Linked DNA regions of Mus musculus. The protein of the gene in region 6 interacts with the protein of the main gene of each other region in a pairwise test. Links are inferred from orthologs where the notes say so. Each region holds a gene or a part of one and is shown on either strand. Other genes may lie near its edges.

Evidence for each region.
Region 1: the proteins of Banp (region 6) and Zmiz2 interact in binary tests that used the Homo sapiens proteins (3 or more experiments, as listed by UniProt). The two-hybrid records come from large-scale screens. The link is inferred for Mus musculus from reciprocal best matches to the Homo sapiens genes BANP and ZMIZ2.
Region 2: the proteins of Banp (region 6) and L3mbtl3 interact in binary tests that used the Homo sapiens proteins (3 or more experiments, as listed by UniProt). The two-hybrid records come from large-scale screens. The link is inferred for Mus musculus from reciprocal best matches to the Homo sapiens genes BANP and L3MBTL3.
Region 3: the proteins of Banp (region 6) and Camk2d interact in binary tests that used the Homo sapiens proteins (3 or more experiments, as listed by UniProt). The two-hybrid records come from large-scale screens. The link is inferred for Mus musculus from reciprocal best matches to the Homo sapiens genes BANP and CAMK2D.
Region 4: the proteins of Banp (region 6) and Sh3rf2 interact in binary tests that used the Homo sapiens proteins (3 or more experiments, as listed by UniProt). The two-hybrid records come from large-scale screens. The link is inferred for Mus musculus from reciprocal best matches to the Homo sapiens genes BANP and SH3RF2.
Region 5: the proteins of Banp (region 6) and Ppic interact in binary tests that used the Homo sapiens proteins (3 or more experiments, as listed by UniProt). The two-hybrid records come from large-scale screens. The link is inferred for Mus musculus from reciprocal best matches to the Homo sapiens genes BANP and PPIC.
Region 7: the proteins of Banp (region 6) and Prkab2 interact in binary tests that used the Homo sapiens proteins (3 or more experiments, as listed by UniProt). The link is inferred for Mus musculus from reciprocal best matches to the Homo sapiens genes BANP and PRKAB2.

Annotation. Positions count from the first base shown.
Region 1 is NC_000077.6:6,393,625-6,397,924, reverse strand, and holds the start of Zmiz2 (zinc finger MIZ domain-containing protein 2), read right to left. Parts: upstream 2,801-4,300; 5' UTR 2,637-2,800; intron 2,358-2,636; 5' UTR 2,297-2,357; coding exon 2,247-2,296; intron 2,168-2,246; coding exon 2,053-2,167; intron 1,694-2,052; coding exon 1,491-1,693; intron 1,261-1,490; coding exon 1,077-1,260; intron 897-1,076; coding exon 636-896; intron 419-635; coding exon 239-418; intron 1-238. UniProt on the Homo sapiens protein: Increases ligand-dependent transcriptional activity of AR and other nuclear hormone receptors.
Region 2 is NC_000076.6:26,273,968-26,277,020, reverse strand, and holds the end of L3mbtl3 (lethal(3)malignant brain tumor-like protein 3), read left to right. Parts: intron 1-757; coding exon 758-901; 3' UTR 902-2,553; downstream 2,554-3,053. UniProt on the Homo sapiens protein: Is a negative regulator of Notch target genes expression, required for RBPJ-mediated transcriptional repression. It recruits KDM1A to Notch-responsive elements and promotes KDM1A-mediated H3K4me demethylation.
Region 3 is NC_000069.6:126,595,451-126,599,750, reverse strand, and holds the start of Camk2d (calcium/calmodulin-dependent protein kinase type II subunit delta), read right to left. Parts: upstream 2,801-4,300; 5' UTR 2,312-2,800; coding exon 2,247-2,311; intron 686-2,246; coding exon 591-685; intron 1-590. UniProt on the Homo sapiens protein: Calcium/calmodulin-dependent protein kinase involved in the regulation of Ca(2+) homeostatis and excitation-contraction coupling (ECC) in heart by targeting ion channels, transporters and accessory proteins involved in Ca(2+) influx into the myocyte, Ca(2+) release from the sarcoplasmic reticulum (SR), SR Ca(2+) uptake and Na(+) and K(+) channel transport.
Region 4 is NC_000084.6:42,098,710-42,102,209, reverse strand, and holds part of Sh3rf2 (E3 ubiquitin-protein ligase SH3RF2), read right to left. Parts: intron 679-3,500; coding exon 409-678; intron 1-408. UniProt on the Homo sapiens protein: Has E3 ubiquitin-protein ligase activity. Acts as an anti-apoptotic regulator of the JNK pathway by ubiquitinating and promoting the degradation of SH3RF1, a scaffold protein that is required for pro-apoptotic JNK activation.
Region 5 is NC_000084.6:53,415,208-53,419,396, reverse strand, and holds the start of Ppic (peptidyl-prolyl cis-trans isomerase C precursor), read left to right. Parts: upstream 1-1,389; 5' UTR 1,390-1,440; coding exon 1,441-1,557; intron 1,558-4,189. UniProt on the Homo sapiens protein: PPIase that catalyzes the cis-trans isomerization of proline imidic peptide bonds in oligopeptides and may therefore assist protein folding.
Region 6 is NC_000074.6:121,949,048-121,953,291, reverse strand, and holds the start of Banp (protein BANP), read right to left. Parts: upstream 2,801-4,244; 5' UTR 2,644-2,800; intron 1-2,643. UniProt on the Homo sapiens protein: Controls V(D)J recombination during T-cell development by repressing T-cell receptor (TCR) beta enhancer function. Binds to scaffold/matrix attachment region beta (S/MARbeta), an ATC-rich DNA sequence located upstream of the TCR beta enhancer.
Region 7 is NC_000069.6:97,661,212-97,664,711, reverse strand, and holds part of Prkab2 (5'-AMP-activated protein kinase subunit beta-2), read right to left. Parts: intron 2,463-3,500; exon of another isoform or gene 2,461-2,462; coding exon of another isoform or gene 2,440-2,460; coding exon 2,273-2,439; intron 1,131-2,272; coding exon 1,037-1,130; intron 845-1,036; coding exon 724-844; intron 1-723. UniProt on the Homo sapiens protein: Non-catalytic subunit of AMP-activated protein kinase (AMPK), an energy sensor protein kinase that plays a key role in regulating cellular energy metabolism.

The DNA.
Region 1 (4,300 bases), on a different chromosome or scaffold from region 6:
TGCAGGGTAGAGGAGTGAGGGAGCGAAATGCACAGCCGCACCAGAGTATGGCTTGGAAGCCTACCTGCTGTTCCCTACACCAATTGCTCACGGGTAGGCAGGCGGGCAGGCATGTGCGTACCACCAGTCACCCTGAGAGCTGTTCTCGTACTGCTTAGGATTCCCTGGCCAACCTGCCTAAGGCCCACTGAGCCCGGTGGCACTCAACCCAGCCTAGGCCCACGGGAGCCAGTCCTACCTTGTAATGCAGTCCCGTGGGGCCAGGCGCAGACAGGGACTGGGCCATTCCCTGCTGCAGGGGTAGTCTGTGTCCTGCATAGGAGGAGGCAGGGCCAGGGGGCTGCCCAGGGCCAGGAGCATACTGGGCAGTGTTGGCTGCATACTGGCCTCCTTGCAGATACTGCTGCCCAGGATACACCTGAGAAGAAGCAGATGTCCAGGGAAAGAGAGGTATCAGGGGAAAGCAGTTTGCATGCATGTATATATGTGAACGTGAGTGCGTGTGCGTGTATGTGATCCTGTTGGGCACAGGCAGTTCTCTCTCATTCCAGATGCCACCCTTGTCATAACTTGGGAGGGTGCTAGGGTAGTTGACTCATCATCTAGGACCGAACCTGAGCCAGCAAGATACCCACCTCTGAGTAGGCTCTCTTGATCCCCTGTCGAGGCAGTGGCTGCCCCTGCGGAGGCCCAGGGTACCCATGCTGAGGCAGTCGCTGTCCTGCATATAAGGGTGTCATGCCTGCTGCCCGGGTAGGAGTCATGGCCATTGAAGAAAGGCCAGAGGGGCCCATCATTCCTCCCATGCCTGAAGGGTTCATGCCAGGGGGCACACTGGGTCCTCGAGGACCTCCATGCTGCAGAAACTGGCTGTTAAAAGACTGCCCAGTCCCCATCTGAGAGGAGAAAGAAGAGGAACAGTCAGACCCGCTCTCAGCTGCTGCCATGGTCCTCTCTCTCACTGGCCTCGGGAAACCCAGCACAGTCCACACTTGTCCCCAGAACCTGCTGCCTTGCCAAATCTACGAGCCCACTCATAATTACTAGCACATGGAAGAAGCTGGAGGGGGCCTTACCGCTCCATACTGACTTAGCTCCTGGCTCTGCTTCTCCTGCAGGGCAGCCACCGTGGCTGTGGCTGTGGCTGTCGCGGTGGCTGCAGCAGCAGCCATGGCAGCTGCAGCTGCTGCTTGTGTGAAGTCAGTTGAGGGCCGTGCTGCATGTGTGGGGAGCCCCAGGCCTGCAGGGCCTCCTGCATACCTGTAGGTGATACAGGATTGCCTTACTGTCTAGAGAGGCTTTCTCTGGGACACACAGCACTTCTTCCATTCTTTTTTATTTTTTTTAATTTTCTCTCCCCTCCCTCCACTCACTTCTTCCATTCTCAACAGAACTTCCACTGTAGCTACTAGAGACAGTAGGGGAGGAGCAGGCAACATCCAACCCTTCTGCAGGACTGACAGGCTGATGGTTTCAAGTCACTGGCTTACCCAGTAGTGAAGCTGGATCCCCCAGGGTAGCTCCCTCGGCCATACACGCCTTGCTGTACGTAGCTCTTGCTAGCACCTCCTTCAGCAAACGCCTGCTGTCCCAGGCACTGCGGGGAGGTCAAGGCAGAGCTGCCACCTGCCACACCAGGCATCATGGAACCACCAGGGGGGCTTCCTGCAGGGCCCATGGGGTTCCCTAAAACCTACAAGGAAGTGGGAGTCACCAGAGAGAACCAGCCAAACTACTGTCTTTAAGACACAGCCCTAAAGTGCTAGATGCCAAGAGATGCCCAGCAAATGGGGGAGGACCTGGGTGGCAGGAGTGGTTGTCTATAGTTCTGACTGGAAGGGTCTCTGGAGCCAGGGGAAGACATCCCATGGTAGTACAGAAGAAAGGCACCTAGTGACTTGAGACCCTCAGGAAGCCCCATCCTTGTGCTTCAGACAGTCCGCTTGGTCCCTGGTTCTTGGAGCCCTAAGATGGTAGAGGCACCACCAAGACTCTGGATCCTGAGGGCTGGGGGGTGGGGGTGGGAGTGGGGTGGCCCTGATACACACTCACCTGGCTCTGGGTTGCGTTGCCAACTCCCCACACAGTAGTGACCACAGACAGTGACCCAGCTGGCTGAGTGGCACTTTGTTGCCAAGGCACAGACTCATATGCAAATGAACCATCACTAAAAGAGAGCAGCTGGTTAAGGCAGGGTCAGAAGGCCAAGGGCTTGCTAGAGGCAGGCCACAGAAGCCCACACTCACCCGTGTGGTGCAGGGGGCAGGGCGGGTTTCATGGGGTTCATGGGGTTCATTGGTGATGGAGCAGCCTACAGGCCCAATGTGCTGGAGCTTATCCGGGAGTTGCTGCTCCGGCTGCGGGACAGGAGGGAGAAGGCAGGAGCTTAGATGCTCATGGTAGCACGGACAAAGCCAGGGTAGTAGCGTTGGCAAATGTCAGCCCAGAATGCAGTGCAAAGCAACTCTAACAAGGGCTCTGTCATCTTAAGCCATTGGATCAACCCTGGAAAGGGCTTTCTGATATCAAATACTTCCCACATTCCCTTTCCCATATAAATCATAGGAAGCCAGGAACCCTCAGCAGGCCCTGGAGAAGGTCAGAGGGGTAGCCCCCACCCTGCGGAGCCCAGAGACCTGAGAAGGAGCAGAGCTTGAGTGTTCTTTGAGGCAGATGCTGAAAAGTCAGGCAGCAGATGTACAACGGCAGTCCATCCACCAGGTTGGCCTTAGGGTGGCTGTACCGACACGGCTGACACAGGACACAGGCACTGACCCAGCCCCTGGTTGGCAGCTCTCTCCTATCAAGAGGGTGGCAGAAGGGCTTCAGGTCACAGGACCTTCAAGCTGATCCAGACGACTTGAGGGGAGCAGGCGTGTGTGTGTGTGTGTGTGTGTGTGTGTGTGTGTGTGTGTGCGCGCGCGCGCGTGCGTGCATGTATGCATGCATGTAGGTGCACACACACACACACATACACACACACCCCTGAGACAAATATGACCTTAAGTATATGGTCAAGTGGACATCTTGCCCCCCCCCAAAGACCCATCTGTGACACTTGTGAATTCCCAACATGGCAGTGACACACACAGCACAGCAGGTGTGGGGGGTAGTCACAAAGCCAGACCATGCTAACGCACATCTACAAGATGGGACCAACTGGGCTTCATTCTTAGAAAACCGTAGCAGTGGCTGGTGGACAGGGAGGCAACAGCAGGTAAGAGCAGCGACTGGTACAGAAGACTCCCACTCCTTGCCTTTCTCAGTGCCTCATCCACTCAGGTCCTAATATACCCTGGACCACATGCGTGCCTACCTCTGCTTGGTCTCACCAGAATGGCACACAAGCCATGTGTTGGGCACTTCTCAGGGACCTCTGGGAAGGCCTGGGTGCTCCTGTCTGAAACCCTCTCTTGGTAGGGGCTGTGTGATTGCCACACATACCTTTTGAACCATTATCAGATCTGGTGATTTCCATCTTCCACTCAGCACTCACAAGCCTCTTGTCTAGGGGAGAGAGGGGTATCGCAGCACCCACTCAGCTCTGGAACAAACATTTCTTTGTGCTTACCACTCAGGGCTCAGTACAGACCTGGAGGCTCTGCAGGGCAGGGCTACACACACAAAGCCCCAGAACGGATAAGAGAAAGAGAGAAAAGGGGACTGTGACTTGCCCTTGCCTGGGCAGCCTTAGGCTCCCAGAGATCCTTCTCACACCCAGCACCAGGCTACCAGGGAAGAGAAACCTCATCCACCTCATCCACAGGCTCTGTCCCCTGGCCCTCAGAGGCAACTACACTTGATTCTAGCCCAGGCCAGGTCCTGCCTAGGCAGCTGGAGACAGAATGTGCCAGACTGGCAGCAGAGGCTGGCATCTATGTTGCTCCTGCTGGATCCTGGCAGCTGACCTGGTGGGAAGAACTCCTCCCAAGATCTGACATGTGGGGTCTGGAACAACCATGTGGATGTCAGGAAATAGGAACAGGAATCAAGACAAAAGCACGACTTAATGGAAAAGAGAAGAGATGGGAAAATAGCCACACAAATACTCCCAGAGACACCAAAGCAATTCAGTGGAGGAAGGACATCTCTAACAAGTGGTACACGAGCAACTAGAGCCTACCAGTAAACAAAAAACTTCAGACACAAAATATGACGGGGGTGGGAGCATCTCTAGATGTAGCTTAATGGCAGAGCACTTGCCCTGTGTGCTTACACACGTCATGCTCTGAGTTTGAGCCTCACTACTGTAACAACAACAACCGAGTCACAGCATATACCAAAATGAACTAGGTCCTAG
Region 2 (3,053 bases), on a different chromosome or scaffold from region 6:
CCCAAATTATTTTGTGTCCAAAAACATTGTAATCTTCTGTAACTTAAATCAAACAAACAAAACAAACTATATATATATATATATATATATATATATATATATATATATATATGAATGACTCAGTACCTAATTGAGGAGAACACAAGAAGGTTTGGGGATAGGAAGGTGGTTTGGTTCATGAAGTGTTTGCAGAGTAAATATTATGACCTTTGGGTCCCCACAACTCCCATAGAAATTCAAGCGTGGCAGTGCATAACTGTAAAACCAGCACTGAGAAATAGGTGTGGGATCGCTGTAACTTTCTGGCTAGAGAGTTGAGCTGGAACGGCAAGCTCCAGGTTCAGTAAGATACACTGTCTCAGAGAATAAGGTGGAAAGCTAGAGAGGTTGACATGTGTAACTGAACTCTGGCCTCTCTCTCTCTCTCTCTCTCTCTCTCTCTCTCTCTCTCTCACACACACACACACACACACACACACACACACACACACAATTTTAAGTTATAAGAAAATGTGACCACTTTCCCTTCTTCTGTGGACTGCAGTTTCAGATAACTGAGCTTTACAATGCTGGATGTGTGGTTTTAGGTAAGAAAGACCCATGGATCGGGGATGTTGTGTTTAAGAGCTCCTGTGTATGCTGTGTTAGTATTGCTGTATAGAATTCAGCTGATAATACAGCATAAAGCTTGGAATAGTCTCACAATACTCCCTCTGGTTAATCCACACTCCTCTGTTTTTTCCCCCCTTTATTTCAGCAAATTGATGGAGAAGCATTTTTACTCATGACCCAAACAGACATTGTTAAAATCATGAGCATTAAGCTGGGCCCAGCTCTCAAAATTTTCAACTCTATTCTGATGTTCAAAGCTGCGGAGAAGAATTCCCACAATGAACTGTGAAGACGGTGAATTCTGGCACCATTGGCTTCTGCTTTATAGCTCATTATGTTCCTTCAAAGCACAAGGACAGCTCTAGCTCCCAAGTGAGAAGTCTTCAGAATTCACCGGAGCAGCACTCCAGGGCTCCATCTGTCCGTCCAGCTGCATATGCATTCTTAGGAAATGCCTGAGCTTCTTACCAGCAACTGTCCAACAACAGTCACCTTTTGGTTCCGCTCACTGAGCTAAACTTACCTTTGTAAACTTACCTTTTTTGGATGTGGGAGGAGGGTGGGGGAAGGAGGCTTCTTTATTTATGGATGGGGCACAATCAGAACTTTTGGCATTTTGTAAACATTGTCGGAGTCTCTTTCATGTACACCTTCTTTTTTTCAATACTTTCAGAAACCTTTTTATATAACTGAATATCAACCTAAACCAAATCCTTTGAACCTGGCTGGGTTAAGCCTCGGACTGGTGTCAGTCATGTTCGCCCTGTGCCATATTTGGAATTGCAGCATTAGCCAAGTGTAATGTTGTGAGTCACGATATTGCCTAACTGTGTGTCATCCTCTGTTGGGACTGAAGAATTGTAAATACGACCTTTCTTTGAATCCACATTTTTACTTTTGCACGCATCATGAATTGTTAAAGTACTTTTCACCAGCATCTTTACTATTATTATTACCAAAAAAAAATGTATATAAAAGAGTGGAGTTGAAGAATAAACTATATAAACCTACTTAGATTTGAAGGAAGTAGCGTATCGGGACAGAATCAATTTTGTACATCGTGGTGCCCATGTGTTTCCAGCAGTTGGCATTAGAGGATTGTGCAGTTACACATCCCAAGGGATGTTGACGAGGAATTTGATCTGTGAAGTTCTTGTGTGCATCTCTGTAAATGACGTGGAAGTTGCTGGTGCTGTACCGAAGAGGACTCACTTGTTGCTGGAAACACTAATCCTCCAAGAGCTCCCATCCGTGCCACAGGTCCTCTAGGCCCAGAGGATTTCCTCAGAGTGAGCTGAGAAGCAGAGTGAGCACCTGACTGCACAGGCCTGCTGTGACCCTCGTAACCAGCAGCCGCAGAATTTGCCACGCTCACAGATTGAGAAAGTGGTTCCCAAAGCCATTACTCGGGAACCTCCGATGATGAAAGAGTCCTTTTCCTATGAAATATTTTGCCTTGATTTCTAAGCATCTGAATGCACTTTAAATGAGAGCCCATGGTTATTTATAAACTCATAGCTGGCAGTGTTTTGTTTGTAAGCGTGTCCTCCTAAGGGGAAGGTAAAATATTTTGTCAGTCTTTGGATGTACTTTCTAATTCCACAATTAGACATTTACTCAAGGACTGATTTAAAAATATAAAGTTTAGTAGCATGCTGTCAGAACTCTGGGGGAAAGTCCCACCTCTTTCCATGAACTCTTTAATGTTTTTCTGATGTAGGACTTCCTTTGATGTGCCATAGTTGGAGTCCTTTGCATTTGTCATGATTCAAGGTAAACAGGGTCCGTGACATCTGCAATGTCCTCTTTCTTCATTTCTCTGCATGAATCTGCTAAGTAAGCTTTTTATTGTTACTCCCCCTTCTTTGTTGTGGTCAGTATTTGTACATTAACTTGCACTTGTTACATGTGATATGAATGAAATAAAATCTTAATTGCAGATTCTTTTTATATATGTATGATTTTTAAGGAGGTTATTAAATAGGAGAGGTTAAAAAAACAGGAACAAAATCATATCTAACAAAAGTTATGTAAGGCTTGGTTATATTTTAGTATTAGAATACCTACCTGGCAAGGTTTGATCTGCTTGCCTACAAAGCAACAACAAATAAATAACATGTTAAAGATACTGTAGGACTGGGGAGATGCCTCAATTGCTAAAGTGCCTGTCACAATAGCATGAGGCTCTGAGTTTGTAGCTCTAGCACCCATAGAAGAACCAAGTGTACCTGTTACCCCAGTGAGGTTCATTGGCCAGGGATCCTCACGGCATCATGAGCTTCAAGTTTAGTGAGAAGCCATGCCTCAAAAGACATTAAGATAGTGAGGCTAGAGAAATAGCTCACTGGTTAAAAGTACTTGCTCAATTTTCAGCACCTACATGGCAGCCCACAGCTACCAGTGACTGGTTCAAGGAGATGCAATCCCCTCTTCTGGCCTCC
Region 3 (4,300 bases), on a different chromosome or scaffold from region 6:
AAGGTGTAAAATATATTGCATGATCTGATGGAAAGTTTCATGCAGAAAACCCAGAAAAGGCCTAGCCTACACATATCAAAGCCAAGCTAACTTCCTAGATTACAGTAAAAATCTCTTCCTACTTCCCCAAACCACTGAAGTTAAATATACCTCGCTGTATTAAGTTCAGCTGTAACTACAACTGTAACATACATTCAACTGAACCATGACCCATTTTTTTTTTTTGTCTCAGAAGTGAAAGGGGAATTATGACAGTTATGAGACTTGCATTTTTTCCATTTCAAGATCCTTCTGAACAGATTTCAGCAAGGCCCCTCATGACATTTATTTGCTTTGCAACATATTTATCTATACCATTGCTTAGGAGACAGCATTTTAATAACTCGCTGATAACAATTATATTTTTCACCTACTTTTCAAAGGAAACAAAGCAAGAGGCTTTTGGCAAGGAAAAATGGTAATATGTAATATGATACCTAAGTCCAAAATTCAATTATAACTACATGCTATAACTACTTAGAAGACACCAACCATTCACACAACAAATACAACATTAACATATATAAATAAATGTGGTTTAAAATACCCACCCCTAGCAGAAAGCTTTTTGGTGTTGATAATTTTGGCAGCATACTCTTGTCCAGTAGGGATTTTCATACATCTTCTCACCACTGAGAACGCCCCCCTGGAAACCAATAATTAGCAAGTCGTCAGTATAATCAGATCTAGTATCCACTTGCAAACTCACAAATCTGAGCGGTTTCATGAACCTTTAGTGGTCTGTCAAATAGCAACATAATAAAAGCATTATCTAGAAAATAAACAATTCTTTCCTGCCAGCCCAGATCTTTTTTAATGTTGTGGAATGAAAGTCGTTTTTAATTGACTGGAAACACGCAGATTATTAATCAACAAAATAGAAGGTAATGCCAATTATGACCACTCTTTTTTGCACATGAAATTTGAAAACAATTTGTAATTCACACTCACAAAACACCAAATGCTCATAGCAAACCCTGCAAAGGACCGAGCTGGGGAACAGAAGAAAAAAAAAAAAAAACTGTTTATTTCGGTAGGAAACATAATTAACGTGGTTCCAACTAAGTAAATATGGCGATTGTTTTCATTAAAACATAAATCTCGAGCTCACTGGTGTGCTTTAACAGGTTCTGGGGTAAGGTGATTTCTCTCTGCCTGGTTTGGGCTTGGGGGGAGGGGAGAGATTTAAATTAAGCTGCTCTTCCGACATACTCCATGTTTCAACAGCAGATCATCTATAAAGATATCATTTTCATTTGATTTAAAAGTGCTCACACTTCCTTTTATGCAACTGTAAGGAAACCTACAGCACACACACACACACACACACAAATGCATCCCTTCCCTGATAGTGGAAATTAGCGATAGGTTTGGGGTTTGATGCTCGGTAAACCAACACTCCCTCCTGACTGAGTCTCTAGTTGCCCCTGTGCAGATCTTCAGTAGGTACCCTGTCCCTCCTTAACATCTCAAGGAAGTCCTGCCACTTCAGTGGAGGAGGTCGTTTTACACAAGCTAGGCTACCCTGGGGAAACGCTCTCTCGGGCTCTAGGGCTTTCCTCTGCCTGGATAAATAAATCCTCTCAGAGACGATGTACACCTAAATCCTAGAATGATGGTGAGCGACTCATCTTAGTGCAAAGAAGGATAGCGGATACATGGCAGGGACGTGGGTTCTGTTGGGTGGCCCTTTTCCTGAACGGAACAACTACTTGGATGCCGAACCAGACTCTCCACCAAGCCAAGTTGAACTTTCGGCATCGATAAATATGGCACCATCTCAGAGAGCGAGTGTTCTCTCGTTAGCTCATCCGAACCTGGGTCAGATCGCAGATACAGCGCGGGCTGAGCAAGAGACATCTATTTACCAAAAATGTGATAAATGTTGCATTTTACATGCATCTCCTTTCCTCTCCGAACACACATACACACACATTCGCACTCGCGTGCGCGCACACTTCTCAGGATGACAGCTACAACTGCAGAGATCATAAATTCACTAAGTCCCCCGTGGAGAGGTGGAGGACCCGAGAAGATGGGCTGGGAATTCGGAGCACCCGCCACAGTAGGGCAAAGGTTTCCTTCCCTGTGTGCCCCACCCGCACCAAGCCAGGGTCCGTCTCCCCGCCTCGGCCCGCAGGCTCTCTATCCCCACGAGGGAGACGAGGGGTCGTGGGGAGGAGGAGATGCCAGGCAGGGACGCTTACTTTCCGAGCTCCTCAAAGAGCTGATACTCGTCGGTGAACCGGGTGCAGGTGGTGGTCGAAGCCATGGCGGGGTCTGGACAGTGCGACGGGCGACACGCGAACAGACCTGGCTTCCCGGGACTGGCGCCGCCGCGCTGTCACCCGGGGCCGCCCTCACTTTCCGTGTCCGAAAGTAGCTCGCCGGCGAGGGAGTGCGCGCAGGGGCGGGGCGCGCGGGGCGAGGTGGCCAGACCAGCCCGCTCCGCGATCCCTTGTCCTCTCCTCCTCCCGCCGCGGTGGCCGGGCCGAGGGCTCCCGAAGGGGCGGGGGAGAGGTGTCAGGAGGGGTTGCCGCGGTCACCGAGGCCGCACGGAGAGCTCAACGCAGCGCCCGGAGTGGCGGGCGGCAGCGGCCGAGTGAACACCCAGCCGGTCGTTCCAGCGGGCAGAGGAGGCGCTGGTGGCCCGCGCTCCCTCCTCTCCACGGGGCCGCAAGGCTGGGAACCCGCGGGGCGACAGAGTGCGCTCGCTCGGCTCGGGCGAAGCTGGCAGCCGCGGCTCCTCCCCGGCGCCTCCTCCCTCCTCTCCCCGCCCAGCGAAGCCCCCTCCTCGGCGGCCCCACACCTCCCTCTAGCGACTCCAGCCGCGTCCCTTCGGGCTGCTCTCCCGCAGCCGTCTAGGGAGACCGAAGGGAGATGCGCGGAGCAGCAGGGAGCGCGCTTAAGGGGACGGGACTGAGATGTCGCAGTGACCCACGAAGGGCGGAAAGATGAGAGACCACTCGAAGCTCCCACAACCCGGATGCCTCTACCCGGGCGGGATGGCCGCGAGGCCGGGGAAGCCGAGAGAGGGAAGCAACCCTTGCATCTGGGCGCGGTTCGCGTTTACTGCTCCCAGACCCGGGTCCAACGTCCCCCGGCTCGCAGCTACTGCCTGGGGCTGCCAGCCTTGGCCACCTCTGCTGCGCCCGGCTGTCCCTTAGCTAGGGGCAAAGATGGTCAGGGCACCACGTTTCGCTTCAGTTTTTACTGTCACGTCTTCGCCCTTCTCTCCCCTTTTCCCGACTAGGGCGATCCCCATAAGCATTTGCTTGATCATAAACTCTAACATAATGAAACCCAAAAGTGCACCACTCTGCCACACCTTCCTTCCTCTCCAGAGTAACTCCCCTGTAACCTCAGCAAGTTCTGATAGTAAGAAGGCTTCTCGCGAGATGTCCCACGCCAGTGGCGAGGGGGTGGGGCGGTAGGAAGGTTGGCTGTGGGTCACGCGACCCAGAGGGGGCTGACGTCATTAGCGTCACGTGAGCGTGCCTAGCCTGTTTCGCGTTGCCGAGGGAGAAGGGAGAGGGAGGGTGGGAGTTCTTTACCTGCATTCTCAAAGAGCAGGCCAAGTAGGGGCACAGGAGTGTACTCCCTCAGTGGCTATCTGGAAAACCATTTAAGAGTTCAAGAACGTGTGTACAGTTAAGCATATCTGACACTGTTGCTTAAAAATTAGCATGGAGAAAAAAAATTAGCATGTAAGATGGGTTAAGGTGTAAGTGGTGGCTAAGATCATTTCTGAGCCTTCTTTTCACTTCTGAGTCTTTAATAAACGAGGCAATTGCAGATTTAGAGGCCTACGGAAAATAGAGACGCATCATGAACTTTTAAAAAATTTTCTTCAGACTGTTGCTTTTTGTTCTACAGCAGGAAACCATAAAATCCTGCATTTCTATTGCTTATGTGCTCGTGCTTAGAATCACATCGTGCACTTAAAATTTCACAGTGGGAAGATGATAGATAACTTTCAGTTAGGGAGCCTGTACATGCTTTTAGGGCGGCTATAAGTTACTACTTTGCAGGTTCTTTTATTCCCTGTTCTAAAGAATGCTGAGTGGCCTTTGAACTGAAGTACTCAGACGGCCATATAATTTTTAAATGCTTTTTTTTGTTATAGATTTTGCAAATATTACTCATACTTCTAATAGCCCTCTCCCACTCAACACAAGAAAATACTTTTTGAATTTAGTCATCATTCAATGTCTGCATTGTTTTGCCCATGAAAATGTCATTTACTGGCCTGTTTTACTAT
Region 4 (3,500 bases), on a different chromosome or scaffold from region 6:
TACAGAAGACGTTTACTGAGGAATTATAATAGCACCACTTCATGTGCTCCCGTGTTAACCTGTCATAGAAGAAAAGAATAAAGTAACCCCAACTTAGATTTCTGTGAGAGGATTTCAACAGCCTTTGAAAACACAGTTGATGACCCAATTAAGTGTTTTCTTTTGTAAGTGTTGCCATGGTCTTAGTGTCTCTTCACAGCAATAGAACATTGACTGAGATAGTAACCATGTAGTTGAAATTATACACATAAACACACATTGCTTACATATTTGTGGTTGCTCACACACACAAACATACACACACATGTGCATTCATGTGTAAAATGCGTATTCTTCTTAAAAACCAGCAAGTATTAAACAATGGACTCTGGGTTCTGCCATAGTCTGTATGTAGTGTGGGACTCTTACCTTGAGGAAGGTCAGGCAGTCCTGGTTCTCACTCTTATCCTTGTCTCGAAGGTCAAAGTTGTAGAGGGCTCTGCAGAGTGGGGGTGGTTGGGGCAGCTGTTTGATGACTTCCACAGAGCTGGCCGGGAAGATCCCGCTGACGCCATTAATCTCCCCCTGGTACCAGTTCTCATCAAGCTGTCTCCGAAGGAGGATGACATCGCCTTTATTAAACTTCAGGTCGCCAGGATTCTTCCCTCTGTAGTTGCACAAGGCCTTGGCTCGAGGCACCTGTAAGTGACACAGGGCAGAAAATAGGAACTGAGATTAGGGGTGGAAGAATGGAATGTCTCATACCAACTACTAATGATAATCGTGTGTGGATCATTTGTCTCATTTAATGTAAATAGCGGTCTTAGTTTCTCCCACTTTGCTCCCTTCAAATACTCTCACATTCCTTTCTCCACTCTCCTTCAAATTCAAGGCTTCTACCTTTACCAATTGCTATTGCATGCATATATGTCCACACATGCACACATATAGTCCCAAATACAACCTCCTCGGTTTGTATAATAATGTTCCTTGCCTGTTTTCAGGGTTGACTGGCACTGGATAACCAACTGTTGTGCTCTGATCTGGGGAGCACTGCCTCTCCTGGGGAGCACTGCCTCTCCTGGTCCCAGCTTTTCTTGGTTGTCTGTAGTGCTTTGTGTAAGATGAGATCTCATGGGCTTTCCTCATCCACCTTAGCAGTACCTTGATTTTATATTTTGATTTGGATGGTGGTTTGTGGCTATAGTTGATTGTTCCCATTTATTTACAGCACTTTATTGACTATACAATAAATACATATGAAAGAATTTTAAATCAGTGTTTATATGCAGGTATCTTTTATCACTACAAAGGTATCTGGAAAAACTAGTGGTATTGTCCTTAATCAGCTTATACTGGGATTGCATGTTGGTGAAACCTCATGGAAATAGTTTCTGATATTACTAGGAGACACAAACTCCCCAATCGCTTGGCTCTCACAATCTTTCTGCCCCTCTTCTGAAATGTTATGCAAACCTCAGGTGCGGGACATCACTGCTCTGCTCACAATATCTAGGAAACAGAAACAACACAGTAACCTTTTGAGACAGAAGTTCACCATTCAATTTACTGATGAAGCAGAGTAACGGTGGTTTGGTAACTTGCATAAGATGACAGACACAGTTGGGGAACGGTATCAGCAAACATTAGCTCTGAACCGAGGAGTTCTGAGTCTAGAGCTTTTGTTGTTAATCCTGATACTGGGAGTATGTGTTAGGATTGACTCACTGCTATGTGACTTTGAGTGAATGTCTTAGTCAGGGTTACCATTGCTGTGATGAAACATCTTGACCAAATGCAACTTAGAGATTAAAGAGTATAAACCCTTTGGCTTATCCTTCCACATCACTGTTTATTATTGAAGAAGTCAGGACAGGAACTGAAGCAGGGCAGGAATTGGGAGGCAGGAGCTGATGCAGAGGCCACAGAGGGGCGCTGCTTACTGACTTGCTCTTTGTGCTTGTTCAGCCTGCTTTCTTATAGAACCCAGGACCACCAACCCAGGGTGGCACCACCCACAATGAGCTGAGCCTTCTCACACCAGTCATTAATTAAGAAAATGTCCTACAGGTTTACCTACAGCCCTGGTGCTATGGAGGCATTTTCTCAATTGAGGTTCTCTTCTCTCAGATGACTTTAGCTTATATCAAGTTGACATAAAACCAGCCAGCACTGTGAGTCAATGATTCTTTCTGGCTCCATACTGATTTTGCATTCTGATTCTGTCTCTTTCTACTTATGTGATTAGGGTTGTTTAACATTTTTTTTGAACTATGTTCATGTATAAAATAAGATGTTAGTAGAATGTCTACCTCATTATGGCTTTTGCGAGCAATAAATAGTATCCATAATGCATCAAACATCTTGCCTAGAATATAATATGTGCCCGGTGAATGTCTTCCTTTATTTAGCATCATGTATAATGGGGAACTAATGACAGCACTTTTACCTACTCCTCAGCATTGATGGGAAGAAAATGGGAGTGGAAACCACCTGCAGATAGGAAGTGGATTGTGAGGGTACTGCAGCATAATTTGGCTACAGCCTTCTGCAGAACTGTGGACCTCATGAGCAGCTGGATCATTAGGAAACGCAACTGAGACAAGGAAACAATTAGTCAGGAATCAATCACAGCTTTTGAATAAAAATCGGCTCGTGAATCGTCATTTGTCAGATTAGTTGTCTGTCTAAATAATTAATGCAGTCAAATGTTTCCCTCCACTCACCCATTGAGCCTGGTTTCTCCACACAGGAATGATCTCAATATGGTTTTATTTGAGGTTGGCTTGGCACATTGAAAGTTCTAACAACTCAGGTTTCAACAAAGACCTTTCTCTCACCAGAGACACTTGTGTATGTTTTTCTAAGCAGTGGGATGAAACAATTCCCTTGCTGTCCCTAGGGGAGATGGAAGAATTTAATTCAGGTCTTCCAGCATTTTCTAGTTCTACAATGCTCATTTGAAAATACAATTCCAAGCTAATTGTAGAGAGCTCTCACATCCCCTTGGCAATGGATAACGGGGCTGTGGATATTGGAAGGAAGGCCTGGGGCTTAGGGAAATACAAGAACACAGCTCACCCTGGAGAAACTGGAGGGTAAGTGAGCAAGGCACGTGGAAGTGGTTCAATAAAGTATGACACACATTCTCGTGGTGAGAGCTCTGTAGTCATTAAAGCTGATGTTGATCCTTTAGCATGAAGCATCACTCTAAATATGCTGTTCAGTGTAATAGAAGTCAGAGACAGGCCTGTGGACTAGATTATCATCACATATTAGCTTAACTGCTTTGGAAAATGTTAGATGTCTGAACCTCACAACACAGATTATTTTTAAGGAACAGTGTTTTCCCCTAAGTGTTTAGTTCTGGTTTTTAAACTTTTATAACAAAATGATCATGTTGCCTATTAAAATCAGACAAACCTGGGAGAAAAAAGAATGGGGCAAAGCTTATAGATGACGGGAGGGCCTATGGAAGGAATCTGGGAAGGACATGAAACTTAGTGGTATAAGGACTGTGA
Region 5 (4,189 bases), on a different chromosome or scaffold from region 6:
CTCACTTTGCATTTTGCACCAACATAACATGCCAAAACAATGATAAATTTCACAAACAAAAAGTAAAGCAAAAAAAAAATAGACACATCATTCATTTTACAAACATTAGACAATATTCATCGTTCTCCACGAGGCATTGTGCTAGACCTGAATCATCAGTAGAAATAAAAACAGCCACCGTCCCTGTTCCCATGGCGTTTGGTTCAGATAAGAGAGACAGAGATAAGCACAGATAAATATATGCAGTCACCTAGCAGGGTCATCTCAGAGAGATAGCCTTGCTCCTCAATGGGGATGGATTCCTTCTCTGGTGAGGAGGGAGAAGGGAGGGAGGAGGAAGGAGGGAGGGAGAGATTTAATTTTAGTGACATTTTATTAGACAAAAACATTCTACTGAATTCAAACTTCAAAATGTAGTGTTTTTAAAATAACCACATCCAGGCTGTAGGGTACTATAGAGAAAACTATTATGCGTATTTCTAGCATCGCTGCTGTTGTAAAATGTCTCCTCCTCTAGTCTCACGTAGCCGAGGCTGGCCTGGAACTTGCTGTCTCCGAGGATGTTGTGAATAAACTTGATCTTCTAATTTTTTGCCTCTACCTTCCAAGTGTTGAGATCACAGGTGTGTGCTGTCCCACACAGTTTATGTGGTACAAAGGCTTCAACCCAGGGCTTCCTATCTGCTAGGCAAGCATTCTGCTACCCAGGTATCTCTTGGTTTTCAAGTGCTGTTTTTATATTTTCAGAGGTAAGTTCAGACTTTCAACGTGGTTTTGCACATGAGGGTTTCGGGTTTTTGTTTGTTTGTTTGTTTCCATTTAAAAAATGCAATGAGAATTTCTCCATGTCATCAATTTTCCTAATCCGTAAGATGGTTGAAAAAAAATCATCCTACAGCTACACCTCGCAGCCCAGTTTGAGTACTTTTGTTTTCGCAGGGCAGAACTCTTATCTGGTCCTTGTTCAGGGCCTGTGTAAGGGCTTCCCAGAAAACTGTGGCTAAGGCCGTGGAGTCAGCACCCGCACAAAATCCCTCGACCTCAAGTTTTCCCAGAAGATTGAATCTTACGACTCCCCAAAAGCGGAAAGGTAGACATCTGGAGAAACTTGATGCAGCACGCCCAGAACTCCCCGGAGGTCGGAGAGGTGCCCAGGACATCTAGGTCCCAGAGGAGCCTTGTCAGTATTCTGCTCTCTGCGCGCTGCGGGCCCTATTAGGCTTACTCCGCTTTGCGCCTCCCCCACAACGCCGCTCCCTCTGAGCCCCCAATTCCGGCCACGGTTTTGAACTTGGGAGGAGCGCGCCCCAGGTCCCCGCCCTGCCCGGATCCACCACTCTCCCTACCGGGACCGCGCAGGCGCAGGCGGCTAAGCGTCCGGCCACAGTCCCGGAGCCTAAGGTTGCGCCCGTGCCATCGTTGCCACTTCCACCGCGCACCATGAGCCCGGGTCCCCGTCTGCTGCTGCCCGCGGTGCTCTGCCTGGGGCTTGGAGCCCTGGTGTCTTCTTCGGGGTCCTCAGGCGTCCGAAAACGAGGTCCCTCGGTGACGGACAAGGTGATCCAGCGGCTACAGAAACTTCTCCGGCGGGCCAGGCACTCGGGCGCAGTGGCAGGGCTGAAGAGCAAGGGCTCTTGAAGCGGGGCGGGAGGGGGGACTGAGGGGACTTCTGGGGTACTGACTGGGACAGCAGGGAGCTGGGGGTGGGTGCTGGAGGAGGGACTAACTGGGGCTTGAGACTGTCTGGGACTGGGGCGGGGGGCTTAGAGGTGGCCACGCGGCAGGCGGGAGGAGACGTCAGTGAACGGTGCGCTCCCAAGGCTCTGGGGCTACTGGACTAACTCTCGCCAACCCCAGAGAATTGTCACCCGGACTTAAACGACCTGAGCGGCTTGGGAGCTGGGACAAGCTCGCTGTGGCCGCAGGGCCTTTCTTCTAGAAGGGAAGTTGCTGGAGTACTTCCTTGGCGTGGCCTGGATGTGGAACAAAGCGGGAAGAATGTAGAGGGAAGGGCACAGGCTGAGGAGTGGAGGCCCAGCTGCCTGCTTAGGATGTCACCCGCTGGCCAGAGCCTGGGTCCCCAAGGAGTGCTCAAATGAGAACTGTCCTCTTCTGTTTAGGAACTGTCACCCTCCAAGAGGAAAGGGTACAGTTTAAAACCTTGTGGCTGGGCCTGGGTTTGAGCCCTAGGCAGCTTGAGAAGGCAACACTCTGACTCTTAAGGGAGGCACGTGGGGGAATCCCCAGGAACTCGGTTCCTACAGTTTCCTCTGCTGAAGTTCCATTTCAGTCTGTGTTACCAGAGGATCAAAAGGAAAGGAAGGGGCGGGGGTTGGTGGGGGGGGGGGGACTACTGCGGTGGGGTAACGACTACTTCCACTGCTAGAAAAAAAAATCTAGCAGTCTGGGAATGGGGTGGAAACAGCAGAAAGTGGTCTTGATGACCAGTTCAGGGTGCCACTGGAAATGATAGCTCAAGACTAGTAGAAGGTTTAAATCCTCCATCACAGGCTCAGCCAAAGAGCCAGCAAGGAGAGGGAAGTGAGCCCACCTATCCAGTCACTGTGTAAGCCAGCATGATCCAGCCTCAGGCAGCCCTTGATCCTTTGGGTATCTAAACCGAAAAACTGAGTTGTGCAAGCCACAGAGCTAAAGCATGCCTGGTCTGCGACTACTATTTCAGATAAAACCATAAATATAAAGTTCATACAGCTATGAAATAGCAAAGGAAGTGAGCCTGATATAGCTCGGAGTCATTTTAAAACACCTGACCGATGAGGGAAAAGCCAGCCTGGGAAAGGCTAGCGTGCCAAAGGGAATGCTTGTGAAATGGTCTCCAGGTGGATTAACCATTCTTGTCTCAGGACCTGCCTAAAGGACAACTTGTCTGTGGGGCAGGACTGAGGGCAGAGTGGCCTGAGATGAGGTTGGATATGAGCGAGGAACAGAAAGGCTCTGAACAGCCTTAGAAGGCTTTGCTAGGAGTGTGGCCACTGAGGGCATAGTTCTTAAGGCTTGGGTGTCACTCTAAGGCAGTGTTCCCCACCTTCCTAAGTCTACAACCCTTTAACACAGTTCCTCATGGTGTAGTGACCTCCCACCCATAAAATTATCTTCATCGCTCATTCACAACTGTAATTTTGCTACTGTTATAGGTTTTGATGTTAACATTTGATCTGCAGGATATCTGATATATCTCTGATAAGGGGGTTTCCACCTACAGGTTGAGAACCATTGCTCTGAGGTAAAGTGGCCGGAGGGGTCTGCACATGGAAATGACTTAATTTCATATATGCTCTTAAGAAATTCCTGTGGTCACTCTGGAGGGTGAATTGAGAGGCCATTCAGGGCTCCGTGCCAGACTCCAGATGGTGGGTTGGATAGGGGTGGTAACCTTGGGAATGAGGAACAGGAATTTGAAGTAGATATTGGAAGCGTTAACAGGACTCCCTGAAAGCTTAGGTAGAAGGGAGAATAGGGTAGTTAGATAGCCTATGATGCCCAAGTAGGTGGGAATTGCAAGTTAACAATGGGTTAATCTGTGCCCCCAGTTATGCTGGAAGTGTTTGACCAAGAGAGCTTTTAAACTGTATTGATAGAAATCAACTCAGAGCAAGTTAGCTACAGTCTCTGCAGTCTCTGGTGCAGCCTGAGGATAGCAGAGATCCTAGAAAGAAAAGACTGTGGCTGCAGGGGAAGGGGTGGGGCATCCTGACTAAGACTAGAGCATAGAACACTGGTGCTGAGACCTGGGCTCCGCCCTCAGAGCTGGCAACTTAGTTTCTTCTTTTTCACAAAGCTTAGTAAATTCTGACATCCAGAGGTAAGGTGAGCCTCTCACAGATCTGCTTCCTTGGGCCTCTTGAGTTACTTAACCAGTGTGTTACAACAATTCAATTTGGTGGAAAATAGAGACATTAAAATGGAAATGTAGCCAGGCCTTTAAATCTCAGCAGAGGCAGGCGGAAGGCCAGCCTGGTCTACAAAGTGAGTTCCAGGACAGCCAGGGCTATACAGAGAAACCCTGTCTGGAAAAACCAATAGATAGATAGATAGATAGATAGATAGATAGATAGATAGATAGATAGATAAAATGGAAATGTAGGTCAACTCCTTTGACTCTGGCCCACAGTCCTTTCTTTCACCATGACTTTATTTAAAGCTAGGAATCTGTAAATAAGAGGCCTGG
Region 6 (4,244 bases):
GAGTCTTGAATTACATCCTGAAACAAAACAAACAAAAGATGTCAGTGGGACATTGAAACGTGTGTATGGTCTTTATAATCTAGGTAACCTTCCTGTTAGCCAAGAGAGAAAATGAAGGGGAAGAGGAAGCTCATTCAGTTTCTCTGAAATTCTTAACCACAGACTAACTCTGCAGGTGGACCTCAGAATGCTCATGAAGTGTGGGTTGCTGTGGACTCTGCTGCAAGGCCCTGGGCAAGGGTGCCAGCCCAAAACAGCGCCTCGCTATCCCTGTGCTATGGGCGCGGCAAACACTGCACTGCGCACCTCGGGATCAATGAACCATGCATAATATGCTAGCTACTTGCACTAGCCCAGCAACAAAGTGAAGAGGCTAAACTCAGAGCTCACCAGACAAGTCAAATCAAGTGCCTAATCTCAGTGTGGGACCAGTCCTCTGCATCCTAATCTCAGTGTGGGACCAGTCCTCTGCATCCCGGTACCCTACCAAAGGACCACCCAGTCAACTGGAGGCAGCCAGACACCATGTTCTGGCACACATCCGTCACAAAGAGCAAAAAATGGAAGGAGACAAATTGTCTGAATGAAGACAACAGGCTTTGAAATTCCTGTTCAAGATGAGTGGCCTTGTAAACAATCTCCACTTACCCCACTAAAATACTTACTACAGTACAATCAGCTCACAAGAAAATAGAGCACAGCCAAAGACTTAAACTTCTGACAGAGGATCTAGATAGCTTGCAGGACACAGGAGTGGGGCTCCAGGCCCCACCTGGCCCTCAGCAGTCTCCACAGCCACCCCTGACAAGCAAAACAGCTTCCAAGCAAAGGGAGACAGACCCTGGAAGATGCATAAACAGCCCAGATATAAGGTGTCTGTTATGTGGTCCTCCAAGTCTTGAGGTAACAACCTCTCCCAGACACTAGTGGGGAAAACCATTTTTAAACCCCTCTCCACAGACCCAGGGCCCCCTGCCAGTTTCCTCTTACCTTAAAGTCTAAGGTTTAAGCAATAATAATTAGCACTATTGGAGGACCTGCCATCCAAAGCAAGAAGCTAACATTTACCACCCACCCCCCAAAAGTGATAAACAAGAAGTCAGATAAGAGAACTGAAAAGAACCCCTAATAGTTTTCTCAGCCTGAAAGAGAAAACATATTCATGAAACAAACTACTGAACAAAAGGAAAAGAACAAATACATTCAGAAATTTTTTTTTGTTTGTTTCGTTTTTCAAGACAAGGTTTCTCTGTGTAGTTCTGGCTGTCCTAGAACTCACTCTGTAGAGCAGGATGGTGTCAGACTTAAGAGATCCGCCTGCCTCTGCCTCCCAAGTGCTGGGGCTAGAGGTGTGTACCTCTCTATGCCCTGCTCAGAAACTACAATTCTGATGGTGGATTCGCCGGCCCCCTCCCCGAGATAGGGGAGGTTGCCTATGTAAACACTATGTAAACGAGGTTGCCTCAAACTGGCAAAGATCCACCTGCCTCTGTCTCCTAAGTGCTTGGAATTAAAAGTCCTGCGCCACTGGGGTGAAAGATAAACTGAAGTTCTTTCCTGGAATGAAAATCAAAAAGGAATAGAAAGATAAAGAAACTCAAGTAGTGTGCCCAAATGGGGCGGGGGTGGGGGGGAGGGCGACAAACTCTCTAACGACTTTAAGAAAGGCTCTTGGGACAATCTCCCAGCGCTCGAGGACACGCCTACCGAGCATACCTGCGAAGGGCAGACCTGTTCCAATGCCAAGAAGACCTTAGGCCGGTCCAGGGAGGAAACAGTTACCAGAAAGGAAGTCCTTGGCAGAGGCTCCCTGGGGACTCAAGAAGAAAGCTGACTGAAACACTGCGTCCTGAGCTGACCAGGCGTGCAGCGAAAGAAAGACCTCGGGACCTACCTGCACCCGCCTAAAGCGTCCCCAACCCAGATTAGAAGAAAGGCAGAGAGGAGGTAGAGGGAAGCCGGAGGTTCCACACTATCTCCGAGAAGTTACAATGTCACCAGGAGCAGAGAAACAAAGGCCACCACAAGTAACAAGGAAAAAAAAGAGCCAGGCTGTGCGGGACGGGGACGTGACGCTAGGTGGGGAAGCGAGCACCAGTCTCGGCCCCGATGTCAACAGAGAGCAGAGCAGAGGCGGGCGGACGCGCCAACCAGGGCGAAGTCACCCGGTTACCGGGGCATAGCGCCAACAACGGCCGGGAGATGGGGCCACCTAGGCGGCGGGGCGGCGCGCGGGGCCCGGGCGCAGCGCGCGAGGCTCAGTCCTGAGAGACTTGGGCGGCCGAGCCAGGGCCACAGCGCCCGCGCGCCGAGCCCGTGACAGGAGCGCCGGGCGCGGGCCCGGGAGGCGCCGAGGCCCCGGAGCCGAACGCACGCGAGCACGGCCGCCGGGCCTCGGCCGCTCGCCCGCTCGCTCGCTCGCTTCCCGGGTCCCGCAGCCCCGGCGGGTGGAGGCGCGGAGGCGACGCGCGGACATCCCGCGGCCCGCCGGCCCCCGCCCAGCCCGGCGTGCGGCCCCGTGGCCGTTGGCGACGGTTGGCGGCGGGGCGGGGCGGGGGCGGCCGGAGATCTCGCTCTCGCTCTCGCTCTCGCCCCGCGGGAAGGGGGAGTGGAGGCGCGACCGGCTGCGGGAGCTGCAATTACCGTGTGGGCTGCGGAATTCTCGTGGTGTTTGTCGGGGAGCTGCGATAATGGCGTCCGTCCTCGCGAGAGAAGCAGCCGCTCTGCGCAGGCGCCGCGAGCGCCTCCCCACGGCCTGCGCCCCGCCCTCAGCGCAGGCTCCCTGGGCTCCCGGCTCAAGGGCGGGGCCGGTCGGGAAGGGGGCGGGGCCTGCTCTGGGCGCCTCTGGCGCGCGCTTTCGCCGACGGACTCCAACGAGCATGCGCAGTTGTCCTCCCCTGCTCCGAGAGTTGACTCGCTGGGCCCTTACTTCCCCATCTCACGTCCATGTTACTTGCTAAAGCAGTAAATCCTCCAGTGTTCAATCTGAGGAATGTACGTCCTCTTTGATGGGTGTGAACACACTAACGCTGCCCTGACGACTACAAATCCCAGTGTGCGCTGTGTGTGGCACGATGCGTCCTGGGACTGGTAGTCTCTGCGGCCATGATTTGCCTGCTGGGATTTGTAGTCCATCCGGATTCTGGCTGCCCCATGCCTTCCCTGCCCTGAGGGCTGCTGGGACTTGTAGTGTCAGCGGCTCAAATGGGCTGTACGCTCCCAAACCCGTCCTACCTACTCTACCTGGCATCGGTCTCAGACGTTCCGGGCTCGTTCAGTGGCATTGTCTGGAAAGTTGCCTGACTTCCTTATGGACAAGCTGGTCGTGGGGACACTGTCACTGTGATAGAGATTATATGTGACATGCTTACGTATCATGCAATAGGAGCTATGCAGCATCGATGTGCATTTGTTGCCAGAAATGCCACTAATGGTTCTCTGCACCTGGTCTGTCGTCAGTGTTCCTTTCCAGGCTGTCCCCTTCTGCATGTTCGCAGTGAGCAATCCTACAAACCGGGATTACAGGAGTTATTTTCACTTAGAAAACTAAACAAAACAAAAACCTGTTTCCTGCCCGTTCCCCTGTGCCGATAATAAAGCCATGACTCAGTGCAGCTACCAGCTGGGCAACCTTGGGACAGCCCTTCTAAACCACTGTGCTCTGTCTGGGGTTTGATCCTGTGCCACTTTACCTCAGGATTGTCTTGAAGATTTCAACCTAGAACTGTGCTGTTAAAATGAGACCTGCTGGGCAGTGGTGGCGCACACCTTTAATCCCAGCACTTGGAAGGTAAAGGCAGCCAGATTTCTGAGTTCGAGCCAGCCCAATCTACAGAGTGAGTTCCAGGACAGCCAGAGTTATACAGAGAAGCCCTGTCTCATTTGGGGAAAAAAAAAAAAAAAAAAAAAAAAGCACTGACTGCTCTTCCAGAGGTCCTGAGTTCAAACCCCAGGAACTACATGATGGCTCACAACCATCTGTAATGGGAACCCAATGCCCTCTTCTGGTGTGTCTGAAGACAGTGACAGTGTACCCACATACATGAAATAAATAAATAAATCTTTAAAATAAAAAGAAAGAAAGCTAAGCCCAGAGGAACTACGAGGAACTTGGCCAGAAACTCTTAGAGAGTTGTACTATCTCCTCCCACCGCCCCTCAATTGGGCCCAGATTTTAAAACTGTAGTTGTGAGAGTTCTGAACATGAATGCCTGACCGCACGGAAAAACAGAGTAATGGTGACG
Region 7 (3,500 bases), on a different chromosome or scaffold from region 6:
ATGGCATGACTAGTAGCCAAGGCAGGCTCTGCAAACAAGAGACCTTGTTTCATTCTCTTTGCAAACAAGAGATCTGCTCAGTGGATAAGGTGTGCAGTTCTCTAGGCAGGCACATCTCCCATCATTCAGTAACAGGACAGTGACTATGGAGATTTTGCACAGTGTGTCTCTGTCACCTGAGTGAACAAGCACCAAGCAAGGCCTTGGGGACAGAAGTATACTCGAGACAAAAATGTACAGGACGGTCCCTGTAGATTCAGTTCTACATAGAGCAACTATTGATTTGGGTTTTTTTTTTCTCACACCCCCTCAGTGACAATTATACTTGTAGGCTCTCATAAAATCATAATTGCCAGTTGAGCTCTCAAACTAGCTGATTCAGGTTAATGAGACAAACTAGACGTACCCAGCCTCGACAGGTAATATCACCAGATGCTCATGGAAAGTGTGAAATCTTACTGGAAATAGCATTTGAAACCGCAGACTACTGGTGGGTTACATAAAAGGTAAAACGGAGAACAGTGTATCAGAGTAAAAAAGGCAGACATTATACCATGGGATTTGTGTGTGAGCATGTGCGTGCGTGCGTGTGTGTGCATGTGTGTGTGATTATAAGATTCCTGAGAAAACAGAAAAATGCAAAATAAAGCAAGAAACCAGTTTGGGGAAGGAATATGCACTGTAAGAAAGACCCAGCAAGAGGAAGCAACAGGACAATAGTACCTCGACATGACGTCTCCGAGCTTTCCATAGAGTCTAACTTTAAAGCGTCAAATACTTCAAAATCAGATTTCTTGACGTGGATCAAGTTATTAATTGTTCCAAGCTGACTGGTAACCACAGGCTGAAACAGTGAAGAAATATAAACAAACAAATAAATAAAATCAAACTGGATACCCTTTTCAATCCACATCGTCACCCAACTGGCCCCTCTCCTGCTATGACAAGTCTCTAGCAGGGAGCCTGGTGCCCATGAACTGGAGGGCATAAAGTCATAAGGAGGCCGCCGAGGCTCCGCTGCAAATGCAGGCCTTACCTCTGACGGATCATGAACCCACTGTCCGTCCACAAAGAACTTGTACTGATGCTCTCCCTCTGGAAGATCCAGGATGGCAACGAAGTCATTATGACTAGAGAAGGAAACAGAAGGTCAGACAGGCCAAGCTCCTTAAAGAAGACAGAGTGTGGAAAAGCAAGAGGGAACGATGGGGCCACCGCAATGACCTCATCCGTTCCTAAGCTACGGCCCTTGTGTGCACCCTACCCCTGCACACCTTAGCAGTTAACACACCTGCTTGTCAACCTCTCCCACTAATGCTGTTCTTGAACATGTGTGTGTGTTGAGGGGGGGAAAGTGTGACTGACAAAACGTTCAGATTTCTTTTTCTTTTTTTTTTTTTTTTTTTTTTGGTTTTTCGAGACAGGGTTCTTCTGTGTGGCCCTGGCTGTCCTGGAACTCACTCTGTAGACCAGGCCTGCCTCTGCCTCCCAAGAGCTGGGATTAAAGGCGTGAGCCACCACTGCACGGCACATTCTGATTTCTTAGAGTTAGGGAGATCGGCTCAACCAGTAAGAGTGCTTGTTGTGAGCTTCAGGACCTGAGTGCGAACCCCCAGTATCCATGGAAAAAGCTGGGCACAGCTACACACGCCTGCAACTCCAGCACTGTGACAAGCAGAACCCGAGAAAAGGCTGGCCAGTAAAGCTGGTAGAAATGGAGGAATTGTGGCTCAGCAACAAGGCTGAAAGCCAGAGCAAGATACTGGGTCTTGCTGTGGCCTTCACATGCACACATATGGGTGCACATACAAATGTACATGCATACATACACACACACACTACACACACACATACACTACACACAAAGCAGAGTCTTCACAAGTATGAATTATGAATAACATAAAAGGTAGGTTTGGGTTGGGAAATATTTCAGGGTACTCGTCCCATAATTTGGTGAGCCTTGTCTGGAAAATGACGTTACATAAAGGGTCACTCTGACAACCACTTAAATCATTCACTACTGCTATGCCAGCAATAAACTGACATTATACCTACAATGTCACAATGTATTTCGCTTTAATACAGAAATCAAAGCAAAAGGATTAGTGTTTTCCAGACTTCTTGCAGACAAGCAATGGCTTGAGAAGCAGAGTCCCGAAGCGTGGACACACAATGCTGTCAGAAGCTCCTGAGGCCCGCTCTCTTCCTTAGGGAAGGCAGCCAGGTGTCTGCTCCTGCACACTGCACACTCAGCAGAGACGCCTGTCCTCACCTCTTTATCAGAGGGATCTTGGTGCTCCAATTGTTGAAGGACCCAGAGATGAAGACCTCCTTGCCTCCTTCAGACCAGCGGATAACGGTGGGCCGGGCCTGCTGGGCGGGCTTCACAGAATCATCCAAATCCTGCTGCCAGGGTACAAACTCTTTGTCCCCGGGGAGCTGTAAGAAGGAGTAGGTCATCCCTAGAATAAATTATGACCCAAGGGTTTTTAAGAGGTCCCAAAGGTTTTTAATGGGCATTAAATTAGGCGTCAACTAAAGTCAGACAGCCCAAATTCAGCAACTGAATCAGGGTATGAACAAACTATATTAAAGAACATATGGCACACATCATTCTCCTTGCAGAACCTTTGCATCACCCTTCAAAAAAACCAAACACCTCTAAATCCTTCCTATTACAGGCCTCGCTTGTATGTAGCAATTAGGATATGCTCCTGAACACCTCATAAGAAACTGTAAGAAAGTTAAGTATGGTTCTTTAAAGGAAAATTAAGCCAGCTATATGTTTTTCTGAGGCAAACTGTTCTCTTTCTATTACAGTTAGAGATACCAAAATTCCTGAGTAACTAGCACTGCTGTTTCAGCTCCTTGGTTATACAACAGGGCATTCACATTTTAAGGGCTGGAGACGGACGGAGTTCAGTGCAGAGCACTTTCCTCCCGAGCACAAGGCCCTGGGTTTCATCTCCAGCACCATCATCCATCAATCGACAGGCATTCAGAAGCCACGCCACTGATCCGGTACCACTGAACCGGTGATGAAACCTCCCTTGCTTACCTAGGCCAGGTCATAAAATCCCCTCAGCAGGATGCAGGACATCCTGGAACTCTAGGAGCACACGACCAAAAGCAGCTTCCTTGAGCAAAAGCAGATCCGTTACTAAATGGGGTTTGTAGGATTCTGAGAAAAACAAATCCCTTAGTTTCTTTCCAAGGCCATCCTCAGGACAGCCGTCGGCCAACTGCAGCCATGAGCCAGACTGCTTTTACTAAGCTTTCGTTTGGGAAACAGCCACCCACGTGTTTATCACCCACAGCTCACTGCTACCGTGCAGACCTGGGAAGTGAAAGCAGAGGGTGTAACCCACAGACTCTCAATTATCTATTATTTGGCCTTTTACAGAAAAAGTTTGCTAATCCGTCCTTTGGGATGGCTTCACTGACTGGTAAATAAGACTGCATGGTACCAAGTCAGGCATTACAAATGAAATGATGAGGGC